Linked DNA regions of Arabidopsis thaliana. The protein of the gene in region 1 interacts with the protein of each later gene in a pairwise test. Each region holds a gene or a part of one and is shown in the gene's direction. Other genes may lie near its edges.

Region 1 (8,750 bases):
TTCTTTTGTTGGTTGTCAAGAGTAGAGTCATTTTTCTAAGTCTTTTTTATGGTTACTTGTTGTAGCTCCCAAGCTGGCAGAGGGAATGACCGGAGGAACGTTTCCAAATTAGAATCAAATCACAAAACCAAAAATTAAAAAAAAATCTTATTTTGTCGGCAATGTTTTTTAGATATTTCATCTTATGACAACTATGTATTCGGAAATCTTGCAAAACTGGATGATTTAGATGTGAAAATATTCAGCGCTTAATGAATTAAATCCGGTTAACCAGACCAAGCAGAATTAAAATGGAAACCGATAAATCAGAACAAAACAGAACATATCTTTTGGTTTTCATATCAAACCAAATTGAATTATAAGATTTTGCCTTGGATTTTGGTTTGGTTTCTTATGCAACTTCCCAAAAGAACTGATCTGTCCAAACTTATGATATGGCAAAATAACATTTTATTAGTTATAGCAAACCCAACTTATTACATTACGATCATCACCATTCACCATCATAACGATGTGTGGTCTTATATATAGGTTTTGTCGATCAGAAGAAATCTTTAAAAGTAGGAAGTTTGATTTCTCCCTTACTAGAGATAGGGATAGTAAATTCCCCTACAACAGGAAGGTCGATGGTTAGACCGATTTGGAGCTCGTAGTCAATGTCCCAGTCCACACCAACGTCTCGAGCCAGGTTAAACAGTATACTATACGGCACCACCACGGGAATATCAAGAGCCGTCATGTCCTTAGCTTTCAGAGAACCCGGGTCCGGTATCTTCCCCTTTCCAATCTCCCTGTTTACAAATAATTAGATCTCTGTTGTTTACAAAATCTAACAAAGAACCAAACGACGGAGTTAGTAGGTTTTACCTGCCGGCGCTGTGGAAAGTGAAACTGATCTCACAGATCGGAATCGAATGACTGTAAGGATTGGTGACAGAGACTTTGGCCAAGTACTCAACTGAGTCACGGTTCACGTCTTTGAGGTCAACGTCCGTAACTGAACCCTCCGGTTTAGGGATCGCGGTGAGTTTATCCGCCACGAAGTCCTTGGCTTTATCTAGCAAGCTCGCCATAATAACTCTTCTTGTTTAAATCTCTTTGTTTTTGTTTCGGTGTTTTAGGTTTGTGTGTATGATATGAAGTTTAACTTGGAATATATATATAAACGGATGGGATTACGATGTTCTTATGAAGTCGGTCGATGTAAATGGATTAAATTTTATAATGGTTTGTGTACGTGTGAGGGTTTTCCACGAGTGAGAGTGAAAGCGTGGGTTATACGTGTCTTCTGCTTGATTTTTGATTTTTTCGTTACATGACAACAATATTTTATTTCAAAAATATATCATTCATGAAAATAGATATTTTGTTTGCAGTTATAGCTAAACTAGATAATTAAATACCTTTTTAGATAGTCACACGATAAATTTAATACCAAAAAAATGGAAAGTATTATACAAAACTAAAAGAGGGAAAAGTATTCGCGTAAGGAATAAGATGCGCAAGGGATTAATGGACCGACCATGTCCCCCCATATGCACGTCGGTGGAATGTAGTAGTACTCCCATGCATTGCGGTACACTATATGGACAATGCACTTATGACCCGTATTGGTATGGGTTTCTGATGGATATTAAGGTCAAACTTAAATGGGCCACAGGCCATAAGCCCATTCAAATTTGTAACTGGACTATGATCACTGTGAAGTCGTGAATCTTCTTCTCTTAAAAACAAAACTTTGACATGATCACTGTGAAGTCGTGCACTGTAGGCATGTCACGTGTTGATGGATGATTAGTGGAAAGGGATTGGAAGAAGCGTGTCCAATTAGTCGACAGCTGCGGAATGGAAAAACTGAGTCAGCATTTATGTTAAGAAGTCAAACCTACGCCTCGCATGGTTTGTTAGTTAATTTGACTTATTGACCAGTCAAAGCATGCTTTGACATTTTAGTGATACACAAATTTTATAATATAAATCCGCAAACACTAGATTATATTCACACTTCTCTTTAATTAGTGTTTGGTTCCACGATTTTCAACGGCCGATTGTACTTTTTGGTTGCAAAATTTTACAAAACGGTACCTTTTGTTTTGTACATTTTAAAAATCAACTTATTATTTATTGGCATCTATAGTTAGGGAAAACGTTTCAATTGAACATGTACGTGTGCATAAATCAAAATTTTATTTAAAATATACAGATTCGCTTAAGGAGTATAATAACACTCCACGAACGAAATTGTTATGTATATATTACATATATAATTTGTAATCAGTGAATTAAGACATTCAAATAATTGAAATTAATTAAACTTTTACCAAGAAAATAAATTTGATAAATAATAATTGAAATTTTGGAATGATATCAAAACTGCCGAAAGCACATATGTCGGTGTTGGTAGTTGGCGGGCCAATTAGTATACGAATACGAACTCCTTGTTCGGTGTTTCTTTTACAAATTATTTTCTTTTATTCATAATCTATTTCTAATTCATTAGATGTTTCTTACCTGCATTTCATGAGAAACACATCCAAAAAAAAAAACTATTTACAAACAAAAAGTTCTTCTTAGACAAAATAATATATTCACAAAGCTACAATGTTTCCAAACTTGATAAGAGAATATTAGTTTAGGACTGTCTTTAATTATTGTTTACACAAGGGATTCGTAGGATCCCAAAAAACAATGGGTTCGTTGGTTTTGTTTGAAAGTGTAGATGTAACGACTCCAAATAGCCAAAAGTTGATATCTTCAGTCTATATTATTGAGATCTTATGTCCCCCCTGTAATTAATTTTTCCAGCAATGCGTGCTTAAAGAATATTGTTTGAGACTTTAGTTATTGTAATACGACATTAGTATAAGTAGAGCCAAAATCAGATTTTAATATCTTTAGTCTTAAGACATGAAACAAGATTAAGAAAATACCTTGTTTTCAAAGAAAACGGTTATAAAAAGGAGGATTTGAGTTTTTGACATTCAGACGATAAAAATTATGAACTAGGTCTAGTCACGTGGTCGACGCGTGAGAGTTTCCGGCGTGAACTGCAAGTAAAATCACGTAGAGCATGTGATTGACTTGACCAAAGAGTCCAAACCCACCAACTACAAAAAAAAATCAAGATATAAATAACTAACTCTCACTAGTCACTAATATAATTTTTCATTACAATTCATATATGATCTACTAACAATTGTTGTGGTTATACAAACAAAAAATTTATTTTTCGTAAGACGGAAATTTTGAAATCAAATTCCTCAACACTCAAATGAATATTCAGTAGTAGTTTATCAATGACTAGATTAGATATTTCTTAACGCCAGTCAAATTTTGGAATTATGTGGAGGACGTACGTTTATACATGTGCAGACTACAACATACCAAATGTTTTATTAAACCAAATTACAATGTTGCAAATTGGTCTATTCTTTTGAATAATCTGATACATTTTATCTCATAACTTTCTTCCTTTTTATTTGAATTCAATCAAATAATATTCTCCACATCCCCAACCTTCTTTTTTTTTTTGCATGACTAAGTAGTTTAAGGTCAACATTTTTCATAAGAAGTTGCTTAGAAATAGCCTTGGGTTCAAATAAAATACACATGATTTTCCCGTTTCCACCAATAAATCCCAATGGATTTTAATACTGAAACGGAAATCAATGCGAAACTATTGGAGTAAGACCAATTTATTCATCTTAATCTACCAAATTCGGATACGATATGTTTAATACAAGGGAGATTGATGCTAGCAAAACACAACCATCTTAATTTTTTTTTTTTTTTTTTAATTAGAAATTCCCTTCCCAAATGGTAATTCAATCGTAACAAAAGTACGTTTTGAAATATTGTTTTGGATGGAGATTTTTTCCTTGGTTCGCTTGTTACTTTTCACTTGTTTCATCAAATCCTAACTCCTTTTATTTTGGACCCCACATCAACTTTATTTGGTCTCCTCAAGGTTTCTGTTTCAACTCCTATATAAAAGCAAATAACTCATACGTTAATTAGTACACACCACAAAAACTTGTCATAAGATCAATATCGATACCCCCAAAAAAAAAAAAAAACAGCTACAAAGAAGTGAGAATTGACACAGCAAATGGGTCTTCCGGGAAAAAATAAAGGTGCAGTTTTGTCGAAGATAGCGACTAACAATCAACACGGAGAGAACTCAGAGTACTTTGATGGATGGAAAGCTTACGACAAAGATCCTTTTCATCTTTCCCGTAACCCCCATGGGATCATCCAAATGGGTCTTGCAGAGAATCAGGTACAGATTATATATAATCCAATAAATCATGTTATATGTTGTTGTCGTTGTGCATGAACTTCCATCTATTAGCTATTATATATGAACACGTATACACATCAAGCTAATACCTTTTTTTCTTCTTTTCAAGTCAAGTTAAATACTTAATAACACATTTTTCTAAACTTCTTACAGCTTTGCTTAGATTTGATCAAAGATTGGGTCAAAGAGAACCCAGAAGCTTCTATTTGCACCCTTGAAGGTATTCATCAGTTTAGCGACATCGCTAATTTCCAAGACTACCATGGTCTTAAGAAGTTTAGACAGGTACTATAAATCATTCATTATTCAGATATCTTGTAATCAGCTACGGACATATTAGAAAAACAATTTTTACATGGAAAGTTAATAACACCTCTAAACAATCAGTTGATATGATCTGCATAAGAAAAACAAATTCAGTCGTGGTTTTTTTTTTTTTTTTTTTTTTTTTTTTTTTTTTTTTGTTAAAGATTCGTGTTGCATTTAATTAGTAACTTATTTTATAAACTTATCCCTAATATAAATTTTGGAATTGAAGGCAATTGCACATTTCATGGGAAAAGCTAGAGGTGGAAGAGTGACTTTTGATCCGGAGAGGGTGGTTATGAGCGGAGGAGCCACCGGAGCCAATGAAACAATCATGTTCTGCCTTGCGGATCCCGGCGACGTTTTCCTCATTCCCTCCCCGTACTATGCCGCGTAAGCATTGTTAAAAACATTAATCACATTTTTAAGAGAAAATAGTACTAGTATATGATAATGGATAATGGTTAGGACAGATTTCATTAATGTTACTTTCACATACTTTTTTGGGGTTAACAAATTCTAAATCGAAATGAGTTATTAGTATCAAGTTTTGACTCTTTTGCCAAACTTTATCACACGTGTACGATATATCCATTCAATAGCGGTTTTAATTGAACGACAAGCTCTCATACGTGTGATAATTAATGATTTAATCCTTTCCGCAGATTTGATAGAGACTTGAGGTGGCGGACAGGTGTCGAGATAATCCCGGTTCCTTGTTCAAGCTCCGACAATTTCAAATTAACCGTTGACGCCGCGGAATGGGCTTATAAAAAAGCCCAAGAGTCCAATAAAAAAGTCAAAGGTCTGATTTTGACCAACCCATCAAATCCACTCGGTACAATGTTGGATAAGGACACACTCACGAACTTGGTCCGGTTTGTCACGAGGAAGAACATTCACCTAGTCGTCGACGAGATCTACGCCGCCACAGTCTTCGCCGGAGGAGATTTCGTGAGCGTTGCTGAGGTGGTCAATGATGTGGACATCTCCGAAGTCAACGTTGACTTGATTCACATTGTCTATAGTCTTTCTAAAGATATGGGACTTCCTGGTTTTAGAGTCGGGATAGTCTATTCTTTCAATGACTCGGTCGTGTCTTGCGCAAGAAAAATGTCAAGTTTCGGACTTGTTTCGTCTCAGACACAACTCATGCTTGCTTCGATGTTGTCCGATGATCAGTTTGTGGATAATTTTCTAATGGAAAGCTCGAGAAGGTTGGGGATAAGGCATAAAGTTTTTACCACGGGGATCAAGAAAGCAGATATTGCTTGTTTGACAAGCAACGCTGGTTTATTTGCGTGGATGGATTTGAGACATCTACTGAGAGATCGTAACTCGTTTGAATCTGAGATCGAGCTTTGGCATATAATCATCGATAGAGTTAAGCTCAATGTGTCTCCTGGCTCTTCCTTCCGTTGCACGGAACCTGGATGGTTTAGGATTTGCTTTGCCAACATGGACGATGATACTCTCCATGTGGCGCTTGGACGGATCCAAGATTTCGTGTCTAAGAACAAGAACAAGATCGTCGAGAAAGCATCTGAAAATGATCAGGTAATCCAGAACAAGAGTGCTAAAAAGCTGAAATGGACGCAGACCAATCTTCGACTAAGTTTCCGACGACTTTACGAGGATGGTCTCTCGTCTCCAGGGATAATGTCACCACACTCACCTCTTCTCCGAGCATGAAAATCTTAAGGCATAACGTCTGAGAGATTGGATTAACTCGTCCGCGTTTCACTCCGTGTTAATTAATCTTAAATTAGTAAGTGATTAAGTAAATGTTTTTTCTTTCATTGTAAGATTGGAATAATTCAATTTCGACATTAGGGTTGTTTTTGACGGCCAGCTTTTTTCCTGGGGTCAAATGGTAACTTTTAAGATTTTATGTGTTTGATTCTGTTTCTTTTTTCCGCTTAGGATTTTAATCGATGGATTGTCCTAGTGGTGCTGGTGTGTAGCATATATGCTTTTCTTATATGTTTTTGTGTGTAATAAATGAAACATTGTCTTTTGATAAGGATCACCAGAGTTTATTAGTTGGGGAGGTTGATAATGTTTTGTGAGTAATGGAGGATTTGTTAACCTAATTTATTCGATTTTTTCTAGAACCGCATTTTCTTGTTCGCCCAATACGTCACACGAGCATGCCAACATGCCTATCCTTTTTCTAAAATAATCATTATATGTACTAAATTGAACATCCGATTATACAGAGATATAATCAATAAATGCATGTTAAGTTTTATATCTTGGAATTTGCCTTAGCCTATCATATTGTGGGTGATGAAAGATTCATCAGCATTTCAGCTGCACCAAATATGATTAAATTCAACTTATTATTTTGTTACAAAGTGACAAATTTGCTTAGAATAATCAGCTATCAAACATGATGACGTCTCCATCAATTATTCAATAATCGTCAGCTTTCTTTCCCCTTTTTCTTTGTTAATGATAAACCGTCAGCTTGAATGTTATAGTATTTATTTTTGGTCCTCTTTTGGTAAACCATTAGCTATTATTTGATAAAATTTACAGATCTCAGATTGATAAATTTGTTACATATATTATATGCTACTACGACTTTGTTAGGTAATTAAGTGCTGATGGTAAGGCGTGCTTTGGGCCGCCTCTTAGCTGATATTGATACTACACACACGAACAAAAATATATATATATAAGACAAAAATCAAATTTGATACTTGGAAACAACGGTTTGATCCTTTTCACACAGAATAATATGTATCTGGATAATATATAGATATCTCTGTCTAATTATAATCATCGACATTATCGTCGTCATCATCAGTCACAAGTCACAACCAATTCATGATCATCAACAGTAGGTTACGAAACATGATCAAGTTATATATTTATTTTGTTTGGTAGAAAAAATGACATGGGCAAGTTTTTTTTTATATATATATAGTGAATCCTCTTTTTAATATTCAAGGGAACTTTTTTCTGTCTTGGATTTTGTTTTGACTCTAAATAATTCAATACGGCATAAATTGAAAATGATGAAATACCAAATTAAGTTTTCACATGCTCCTTTTAGGTGGCTACCTACCAAAATGTTTTTGACATTTGCATTTGGTTTGAGCCACAACTTGATCTATGACATTTACAATGCACTTGGTTACGTGAAGACTATTTTTAGTAATATATCTTTTAACAAAAAAAAAGATATATTTTCAATAATCTTTTGGTGTCGAAAAAGAAAGAAGTTTGTATGTGGCCGAGATACGGGCATTTTTATTCTTAAGTGGTTTCTAGATTTTTTATTTTTTTTGTTTAGAATAAATTTAGAACTTCACTTTATGCTATTATCCCCTGAAATACAGGTACATTTGTGAAGAAACTAAATAAAAATTAGAACAATTAAAAACGCTTTACCTTCTCCTCTTACAAAATTTCTAAAAGTGACTCATCAGATGATCATGAAGGCCATGCCCTTTCGCTTCGCGCAAAACAGAAGTAAAGATAAATTATCAAGTTTACAGCTGAAATGTTAATAAGCCGCCCAACAACATTTATTCACCTAAGCTAGCACCCACATACATTTAAAAATATATATATTGACCAGATTATGAAAAAACTTTGACAATAACATAGTTATGAAATATACATAACCTTAAGAAGAAGATGACCAGGTTATGAAATAGCAAAATCGAATAAAAACATTGCAGAACTATTGTTCGCAAAACTATTTTGCAATTTCGCCATTCCATTGGCTTCCGAAGAAGTATCAAGCTTTAAAAAGTTACACGACCAACGCATATATATAACACCATTATTTACAGAAAGTTACCTTCAAAGTGAAAAAATAAAATTCTAGTACTATCGACGATATATACACAAAACATATCATCGAAATCGATTTAAGGAAATAAAACTTCCCCGCATTATCGAGGAGACAAAAACATATCCGATCCCATCCGAAGTCTAAGATATATCCTTTGTTTCTTATTCTTCATCCTCATGACTATATATAGATCGGTCCATCTTTTCCCCAAAATATATCACATTATAAATATTTCAACATATAACGCAAGCATTAGGGTTTTCTTCGATGCTTTGGGCGTAGTAATACGTTGTTAGGTGAGGATTATATGCTTTATACGCCTTTACAAGTTCCAAC
Region 2 (8,028 bases), on another chromosome or scaffold:
TATGGTTTCTATTTGTAAGTGACAACAAAATAGTATATCTAGATAACAGTTTTGTCTAATAGAATTGCTTGGATTTTCTGTAACAGCCACAGACAGTAGCTACACCTCAGGTTTCTGCTCCTACTGCCTCAGTGTAAGTTGCCTTCCTCTGGCATTGATTTACCTCCTTTTGAAAGAGAAATTGTCAGCTTCTTATGTAGTTGCCGGTTTGCTGATTCTCTGTTCTTTTTACTTGCGTTCTCAGTCCAGTTCCTACAAGTGGAACTGCAACCGCTGCAGCTCCAGCTACTGCTGCTTCGTAAGAACTTTTCAGAAGTATACTATATTCATTTTCGAATATCTGTTCATTGATTGTGTAAATGTTGCCCACTTTCTTGGTTGAAACAGGGTTCAGACAGATGTGTATGGTCAAGCAGCATCAAACCTTGTTGCTGGAACTACTTTAGAGTCCACTGTTCAGCAAATTCTTGATATGGGTGGAGGTAGTTGGGACCGTGACACTGTTGTTCGTGCTCTGAGAGCTGCGTTCAACAATCCTGAAAGAGCTGTTGAATACCTGTACTCGGTATGATTCATTCCACTTCTTGATTTTACGTTTTTCTTTGATATATTGTATCTACCTTTGATTTGCGGTTTGCCAGAATTTAAGCAACATTTGCTCTTGAACTTTTGGTTGATACATTTCAGGGTATCCCTGCTCAAGCTGAAATCCCACCAGTTGCTCAAGCCCCAGCTACTGGGGAACAGGCAGCCAATCCTCTAGCACAGCCCCAACAAGCAGCAGCTCCAGCAGCTGCAACTGGTGGTCCAAACGCAAATCCATTAAACCTGTTCCCCCAGGTAGGGTTTTTAAACTGGTGAACCGATTTCATTTGCTCGTTTTCCCTTGTGAATTTGTTTTATTGACATCCACTCTTATCTGTCTCTATCCAGGGCATGCCCGCTGCAGATGCTGGTGCTGGAGCTGGTAATCTTGATTTCCTGCGTAACAGTCAACAGGTATTTTCAATTTCTTTTCCATTCGAGAACGGAAATCTTCATTTCTCTCCTCTTATGTCATTTGCAATTCTTTTGCCTTTTCATAGTTCCAAGCCTTGCGAGCTATGGTACAAGCAAACCCACAAATTCTACAGGTAAAATTTTTAACCTCTTATTCTTTATTTGGTAGGTTATATGATATTGATTTCCCACTTATACTGTTTCGTTTTGCAGCCTATGCTTCAGGAGCTCGGTAAACAAAACCCCCAGCTTGTGCGACTAATTCAAGAGCACCAGGCTGACTTCCTACGCTTGATAAACGAACCTGTCGAGGGAGAAGAGTGGGTTTAATATCATGATTCTCCTTTACGTTTTCATTTTATTCTTTTTTCTCAATAAAGCATGTAATCTGACATTTCATTCGATGCCACCAGGAATGTTATGGAACAGTTGGAAGCAGCAATGCCACAAGCTGTTACCGTTACACCTGAAGAGCGTGAAGCCATTGAACGGGTTTGTTCCTATGATCTTTACATTTGTACCTTTACTAGATGCTCTGGTTCCTCAAAATATATGGCTTGTATTGAAATTTGATTTTGCTGTTGTTTGTTTTGGTTTAGCTTGAAGGGATGGGGTTTGATCGTGCGATGGTCTTGGAAGTGTTCTTTGCGTGTAACAAGAATGAAGAACTTGCAGCTAATTACCTTCTAGATCACATGCATGAGTTTGAAGATCAATAAACAGAGCAAATCCATTCCTCCCTCTAAACTCAGACCATCTTTCTGTTTCTTTTTCTTCTTCTTTTTAATATGATAATCTCTTCTCCAATGCCATTTGACAGTTTCATGTTTATGTTCATGGGAGTTGATGTGTTTATGTTACTATTAAAACTATCATAGTTTATCTGGTTTGAAGATGCTCCTCTTTTATCATATTATTAGCCTTTGAATCCTTCCTCTCTTTAGGTCTCAGATGCACCAATATTAGCTAAGATTAAAAGTGGATATTTTGGTTCTATATGACTCATCTCGAGTTAGGAATGGTATGTCGAATCTGGTTTAACAGATCTGGCCTAAAACGAAACCGCTATTCAGATCCAATTATTGGCGCTTACATTGTTTTCTCATAGCCTCAAGCTATGCAATATCAATTATTGCACATTTGAATTAACACAAACCCATCAATTAATATATCAACAAAAACCCATCATCAATTAACACATCAACACAAACATAAAGACATATAAGTTGCTCATGAAGAACTTATAATGGTGGAACCAGTGAGCCTTTGAGATCTGTCATAATCGTCTCTGAAATTGTCTCAAATCGAGAGAGAAATGAGAAATCTTAAAATTTTACCCTAAATAATTAAACCCTAGCTTTTAATTATTACTGCACAAATTATGTCTAAATAATTTTGCCCATTTACTAGCGAGCTTATATGGTTTGTAATCCATTTTAAACACTTTAATTTTGGGCTTCACCAAAACCCAACCATTATTATTTGGACGTGGACATCCCATGGTCAGAAAACTCATTCGATAACCCTACATTTGATGATCAAAGTGGCACGGAAGCTCGTTCGATCTACAAGTTTTGTGGTGAGGAGACTTCTCAGTTTTTCTTCTAGTGTGGTTGTACTTCAGGTAAATTCTTTTCAATACTTAGTGGAATTTTTCGCTAACTGTTTTGTGTAAATAAGGACGAGGCCTCCATAGCGTTCAGTGCTTTAACAATGCCGTATCCACTCTGCTAATCTTGGATTTCAAGAGGTATGACAGTTTGTGTTGTGATAGGAGCCTTCATTAAATTAAATAATTTCAACAATTTATTTATTTTTAGAACCAAAAGATTTTTCAAAAATTTTGATTATCAAAAAAAAATCCAACAGATTTTCTGTTAAAATGAAAATATATATTAGATTGTTTTTAAAAAAAATCATCTGCCGGAATTTGAATCTGGACATGCTTATTTTCAAAAAAACATTTTAGCTAATGTGCTAGTGCATATGTTTTTGCTAAGGTATGAATTTAAATTGGATATATAGATCAATTTATTTATTTTAAAACCAAAAAAAATTTAAAAAGAAACTTAGCGGGATATAAAATAAATATATATTAAATTTAAAAAAAAAAGATTTTCCGCTACGGGAATTTGAACCTGAAAATGCTGATTTTTAAAGAAAATTTAGCTAATGTGCTACATGAGATGTTTTTTTTGCTAAAGTATGAGTTTAAATTGGATATATACATCATTCAATTTATTTTTCTAATCTAGAATTTGCTTTCCTAGGACAAATATAGGTACTGAATTATTAAAGAACATATTTTTTGGTAAGATATAAGTGAGTTTTTATATAATTTTGATGATTTTAGGTAAGTTGATGTGATTTACTGTAAAGTCTTTTCAAATTCTATCTAAAACTATGAGATTTAGATTTCTGTATTTTTAACTAAAGAAGTCTTTTCAAATCCTTTCAAATCCTTCAAAATTAATAAGAATCAAATCCACTAACTATTTTCAGTAACAGTAAAAAGGTTGATTTTTAAATTTTTAATTTAATAACACTCAATTTCATTTAAAAATTTAAAATCCATAATTAAATAACATAAAATTTATAAATTTTACATAAATTATTAGATTGAATACACCGCTCTAAATATACACAATGTAAAAAGTCTGTTTAAGATCAATTATAGATTTAACTTAAATCTAAAGGCCCATAATACCGTCCTGTACATCATATAGTTATCTCAAGTTGTAATACTGTAATACCCGTTGGGCCCAGTGGCCCATTTATCAGATTTCAAATAACAGATCTCAACACTAGCATGGCTACACACGTGTCAGATTCAATGCATCAGTCATATCTTCAGCATCCAACACTTGTCAACCTTCCATTGGATCTCTTAACTCTACGCCTCGAAAACAGTTTTTATTTATTTATCATTCCATTTCTCATTGTATCTTCATCAGTCTCTTCTTATTCCATTTTTTCAAACCACTTGCAAAATTCGAATCAGATCTTCTCTTCAATCGAAAAAAAAGAAAGGTAAATCTCTCTCTCTCTAATCATCGTTCGTTTCGTAGTTTCTTCTTCTACGTGTAGATCTGATCTTTGATTGTATGTTTCTGGAGATCTCGATCTCATCGATTCTCTGTTCTTATCACTGATTCAGTGTGTTTGATATCTAAATCCGATTTGTGTGTAGGATGTTAAAATTTAGGTTTCGGTTTTGTTTCTGCTTTTGAACGATTTTGCTCTAGATTCGTTATCCGTGAAGAACATAGACGAGTATGTAGATCTTACTTCGGATTCGCGTTGAAGAATTTTCTCTAGATTCGTCACCTATGAAGAAGATTCATTGTGTTCTTAATCTAGATGATTAGGTTATTGTTTCGACTCATTTGTTTATGCCTATTTTCTCTATGTTCTTAATCGGTGAAGAAATGTATCAATGTGTGTATGTTTTGGGTTCTGATTTTGTAGGATTTGCTCTAGATTGTTGAATCGAAGATGTCGACAAGGGAAGAGAATGTTTACATGGCGAAATTAGCCGAACAAGCTGAACGTTACGAAGAAATGGTTGAATTCATGGAGAAAGTTGCGAAAACTGTTGATGTTGAGGAACTTTCAGTTGAAGAGAGGAATCTTCTCTCTGTTGCTTACAAGAACGTGATTGGAGCGAGAAGAGCTTCGTGGAGAATCATTTCTTCGATTGAGCAGAAAGAAGAGAGCAAAGGGAACGAAGATCATGTTGCTATTATCAAGGATTACAGAGGAAAGATTGAATCCGAGCTTAGCAAAATCTGTGATGGGATTTTGAATGTTCTTGAAGCTCATCTTATTCCTTCTGCTTCACCAGCTGAATCTAAAGTGTTTTATCTTAAGATGAAGGGTGATTATCATAGGTATCTTGCTGAGTTTAAGGCTGGTGCTGAAAGGAAAGAAGCTGCTGAAAGCACTTTGGTTGCTTACAAGTCTGCTTCCGTAAGTCATTCTTTACAACGTTTTTGAATGTTGTTTTCTTTTGTGGGTATGATTGATTTTGTTGTTGTGATAATGCAGGACATTGCCACTGCTGAGTTAGCTCCTACTCACCCGATAAGGCTTGGTCTTGCACTCAACTTCTCTGTGTTTTACTATGAAATCCTCAACTCGCCTGATCGTGCTTGCAGCCTCGCAAAGCAGGTTTGTGTAGTACACCTGATTTTCACTTTTTGCTTCGTGTGTTATTATTATCTCAGTGAATGAAACAGCTATTTTGGGTTTGTGCAGGCGTTTGATGATGCAATCGCTGAGTTAGATACATTGGGTGAGGAATCATACAAGGACAGTACACTGATTATGCAGCTTCTTAGAGACAATCTCACTCTCTGGACTTCAGATATGACTGTAAGTATTAACAACACAATATACGTTGATCACTAAGTTATGTTGTTGACATGATGGTTTCTTTTTTGGTGAATAGGACGAAGCAGGAGATGAGATTAAGGAGGCATCAAAGCCCGATGGTGCCGAGTAAACCCGAAGAAGAGGAAGAGTCATTTTATAATGGTAGAAAACTTTCATGTGATAATCTGAGTGAGGGATAGCTCAGGATTCTTATAAGAGACACAGTTTTATTGTTGTTTGTTTGTTTTGAAACTACTTGCGATTTATCATTCCTCCTTTAGCTTCCTCAATATTTCCTATTCTCCTTTCTAATGAAATCAAAACTTGGTTATTTCTGATATGGTAGTTGTCTTTATTTTCTATTTTTTTGGTTATTGATTTGATCAACTAAAAAAGTGTGATAACTTTCTCAAATTGATTAATTAATGTACGAAAACACTTGCTGCAAATGGATCACTTCCATGACATTATACTTTGATATAATATATTACAAGAAATAAAAGGTAACTAAAGTAGAGAAAACAAGAAACCATATTTATAACAAAATATTTCATTTCAAACAATGGTAAAAGATCTCAGATAACATAGGAGACAGACAAGTTACTACTAATAAAGGAGAGAACCACACCAAAATCCTAATCTTGTTAATTAACACTTCCAATAAGTTACTGAAACTCAAAATCACTGAATAAGCTAGTGAACAAGTGAAGAGCTACTCTGTGTCAAGTGCAAAGCAGAGGACTCCACGGCACCTGAAAGTCCAAAGGCTGATCTTGTCGCCGACTTTTAAGCTGCTACTTTTGACGACATCATTCCAACCCCAATTCAAAGTGTAATTCAATGTTCCATGTCCAGAGTCCTTCTCCATCGCCCATATCTTGAAACGCAAACCCCACTTTTGAAATCTTTGGTTCACAAGAACCGTTCCCACACCAATATTCTCGTCGTCTTCTTCATCATTGTCTTCGTCTTTCTGCATAGCTCTACACTCCGCAGGAGTCAGGAAATCGTTTCTGATTAGCTTCTGGAAAGGCATTAAGAGACGACTAAGGTTTGAGTTGACATCACTCTTAAACAGAGTCCTCTCAAATATCAGCCTCGGGGTTTCAGCATCAGCGTTCATGTATCTCATCACTTGGAAAATCCACTCAGGCATCTCTGTACACAACCTTGGCAAAGGAGAAACCTTAACTTTCTTGACTTTACCACTCTTCCTCTGCTCCACGGCACGCCTCTTGCGGTTTGTCTTCCCTGTTAGGCATGAAGACGGAGACGAAGATTGGTAATTAGGGTTTGGTACGTCTTTTGTCTCTGTCGAAGGTTCAAGACAAGGAAGGTTCAGGAGCGATGAAGAAGAAGTAGAAGCTCCATTAAGATTATCAAAGAGTTTCTTTTCACTCTCGTCATCATAATCTTCATCGTAGACAATCTTGGATTTACCTTTCTTTAAACGTTGTTCTTCATCACACACCATAGGTTCATCAAAACAAGGGTTTTGTAGGTTGTCTGTCTCAAAATCAGTAGGGATTAGGTTAAGATCGGGAAGCGATGACGAACAAGTAGAAGCCCCATTAGGGTTTTGTTGTGTGTATCTTCTCTTCGCCAAAGACGATTTGATTTTCCTCGGGAAAAGATAGAAGAAACTCATCTTGCACTTGGATTCTTCTCGTTTCTCTGCAAGAAGACGACTACGTTGTTCTTCTTCCTCCGCAACCATAACCGTCACATACGCCAGTAAACTTAAACCCGACGACATATTCTTCCCCGAATCCGTGAGATGATTATCGTGATACATAATACTACTCATCGTGATTGAATCGAAAGACTGGAAAGTTTCTGAGAGCGACGACGTGAGGAACAAGAAACTTGTATATAGAGAGACGAGAAACTGATCGACGATTAGAAAAGAAGTACCTTCTCTTGCCTTATATATACTTTACAATAGGGTTTCAGGTTTCTTTGTTTTCCTATTTCTCCATTGAGTTTAGTTGTTTAATTACTGTCATTAGTAACTAATTATAGCCGTTGTGATCAAGTGTTTCCTTTTTCACAAGTGTGAGAGATAGTGAATTTTTAGGAAGTTTCCTTTCCTTTCAAATTTCAATAGCTTTGCTTCACTTTTTTGTATTTGATGTATTATTATATTTTTTGGGCACTTGCCGACTTTGATATAAATTAAATAAAATGCAGAAAACAGTGGAGTCTCAAAAAAATTCAGATCTTTAGAAAAACAAAACCAATATTGTTGTCGATTGAATCGAAAATAGTTTCGAGTATCCATTTATCATCAAAAAAAAAAAAAAAACAATTCCTTGAATAATTTTTATGTTTTTTGAATTTTATTGGATGTACGTACATAATCATTTCAACAAAATTGCATAAAAATAGTTGATGCAAAACCAAATATGGGGAGAAAATTCAAATAGTTTTCTCAATTTGAGGTAACTACGAAATTGCCCCACATCCTTTAGTAATTACGAATTGGACCTAAAACTATAGATAATTACGATTTTTTCCCTCGAATAATAACGAAATTGCCTCAGTTATTTCGTTATTTGTTAATGCACCCCACATCTCTCGGTAATTACAAAATTTCTGCAAATCTTCCAAAATGAAATTTCTGGTAATTTCTTATTTGGTAAACTACGAATGAAC

Evidence for each region.
Region 2: the proteins of ACS2 (region 1) and GRF3 come close enough for resonance energy transfer, tested with the Arabidopsis thaliana proteins (one study listed by BioGRID).

Annotation. Positions count from the first base shown.
Region 1 is NC_003070.9:171,754-180,503, forward strand, and holds ACS2 (1-amino-cyclopropane-1-carboxylate synthase 2), read left to right. Parts: upstream 1-3,952; 5' UTR 3,953-4,108; coding exon 4,109-4,279; intron 4,280-4,387; exon of another isoform or gene 4,388-4,453; coding exon 4,454-4,585; intron 4,586-4,838; coding exon 4,839-4,999; intron 5,000-5,271; coding exon 5,272-6,298; 3' UTR 6,299-6,653; downstream 6,654-8,750. Other genes in the region: LEA14 (Late embryogenesis abundant protein), read right to left, coding at 542-791, 868-1,073; AT1G01490 (Heavy metal transport/detoxification superfamily protein), read right to left, coding at 8,648-8,750. UniProt on the Arabidopsis thaliana protein: 1-aminocyclopropane-1-carboxylate synthase (ACS) enzymes catalyze the conversion of S-adenosyl-L-methionine (SAM) into 1-aminocyclopropane-1-carboxylate (ACC), a direct precursor of ethylene.
Region 2 is NC_003076.8:15,405,783-15,413,810, forward strand, and holds GRF3 (general regulatory factor 3), read left to right. Parts: upstream 1-3,901; 5' UTR 3,902-4,029; exon of another isoform or gene 4,030-4,367; intron 4,368-4,467; 5' UTR 4,468-4,494; coding exon 4,495-4,968; intron 4,969-5,046; coding exon 5,047-5,169; intron 5,170-5,256; coding exon 5,257-5,373; coding exon of another isoform or gene 5,374-5,377; intron 5,378-5,449; coding exon 5,450-5,503; 3' UTR 5,504-5,819; downstream 5,820-8,028. Other genes in the region: RAD23D (Rad23 UV excision repair protein family), read left to right, coding at 87-133, 245-298, 388-565, 688-840, 934-999, 1,086-1,133, 1,213-1,319, 1,413-1,491 and 1 more; AT5G38490 (B3 domain protein (DUF313)), read right to left, coding at 6,086-7,180. UniProt on the Arabidopsis thaliana protein: Is associated with a DNA binding complex that binds to the G box, a well-characterized cis-acting DNA regulatory element found in plant genes. Involved in the regulation of nutrient metabolism. Reciprocal negative transcription regulation of miR396.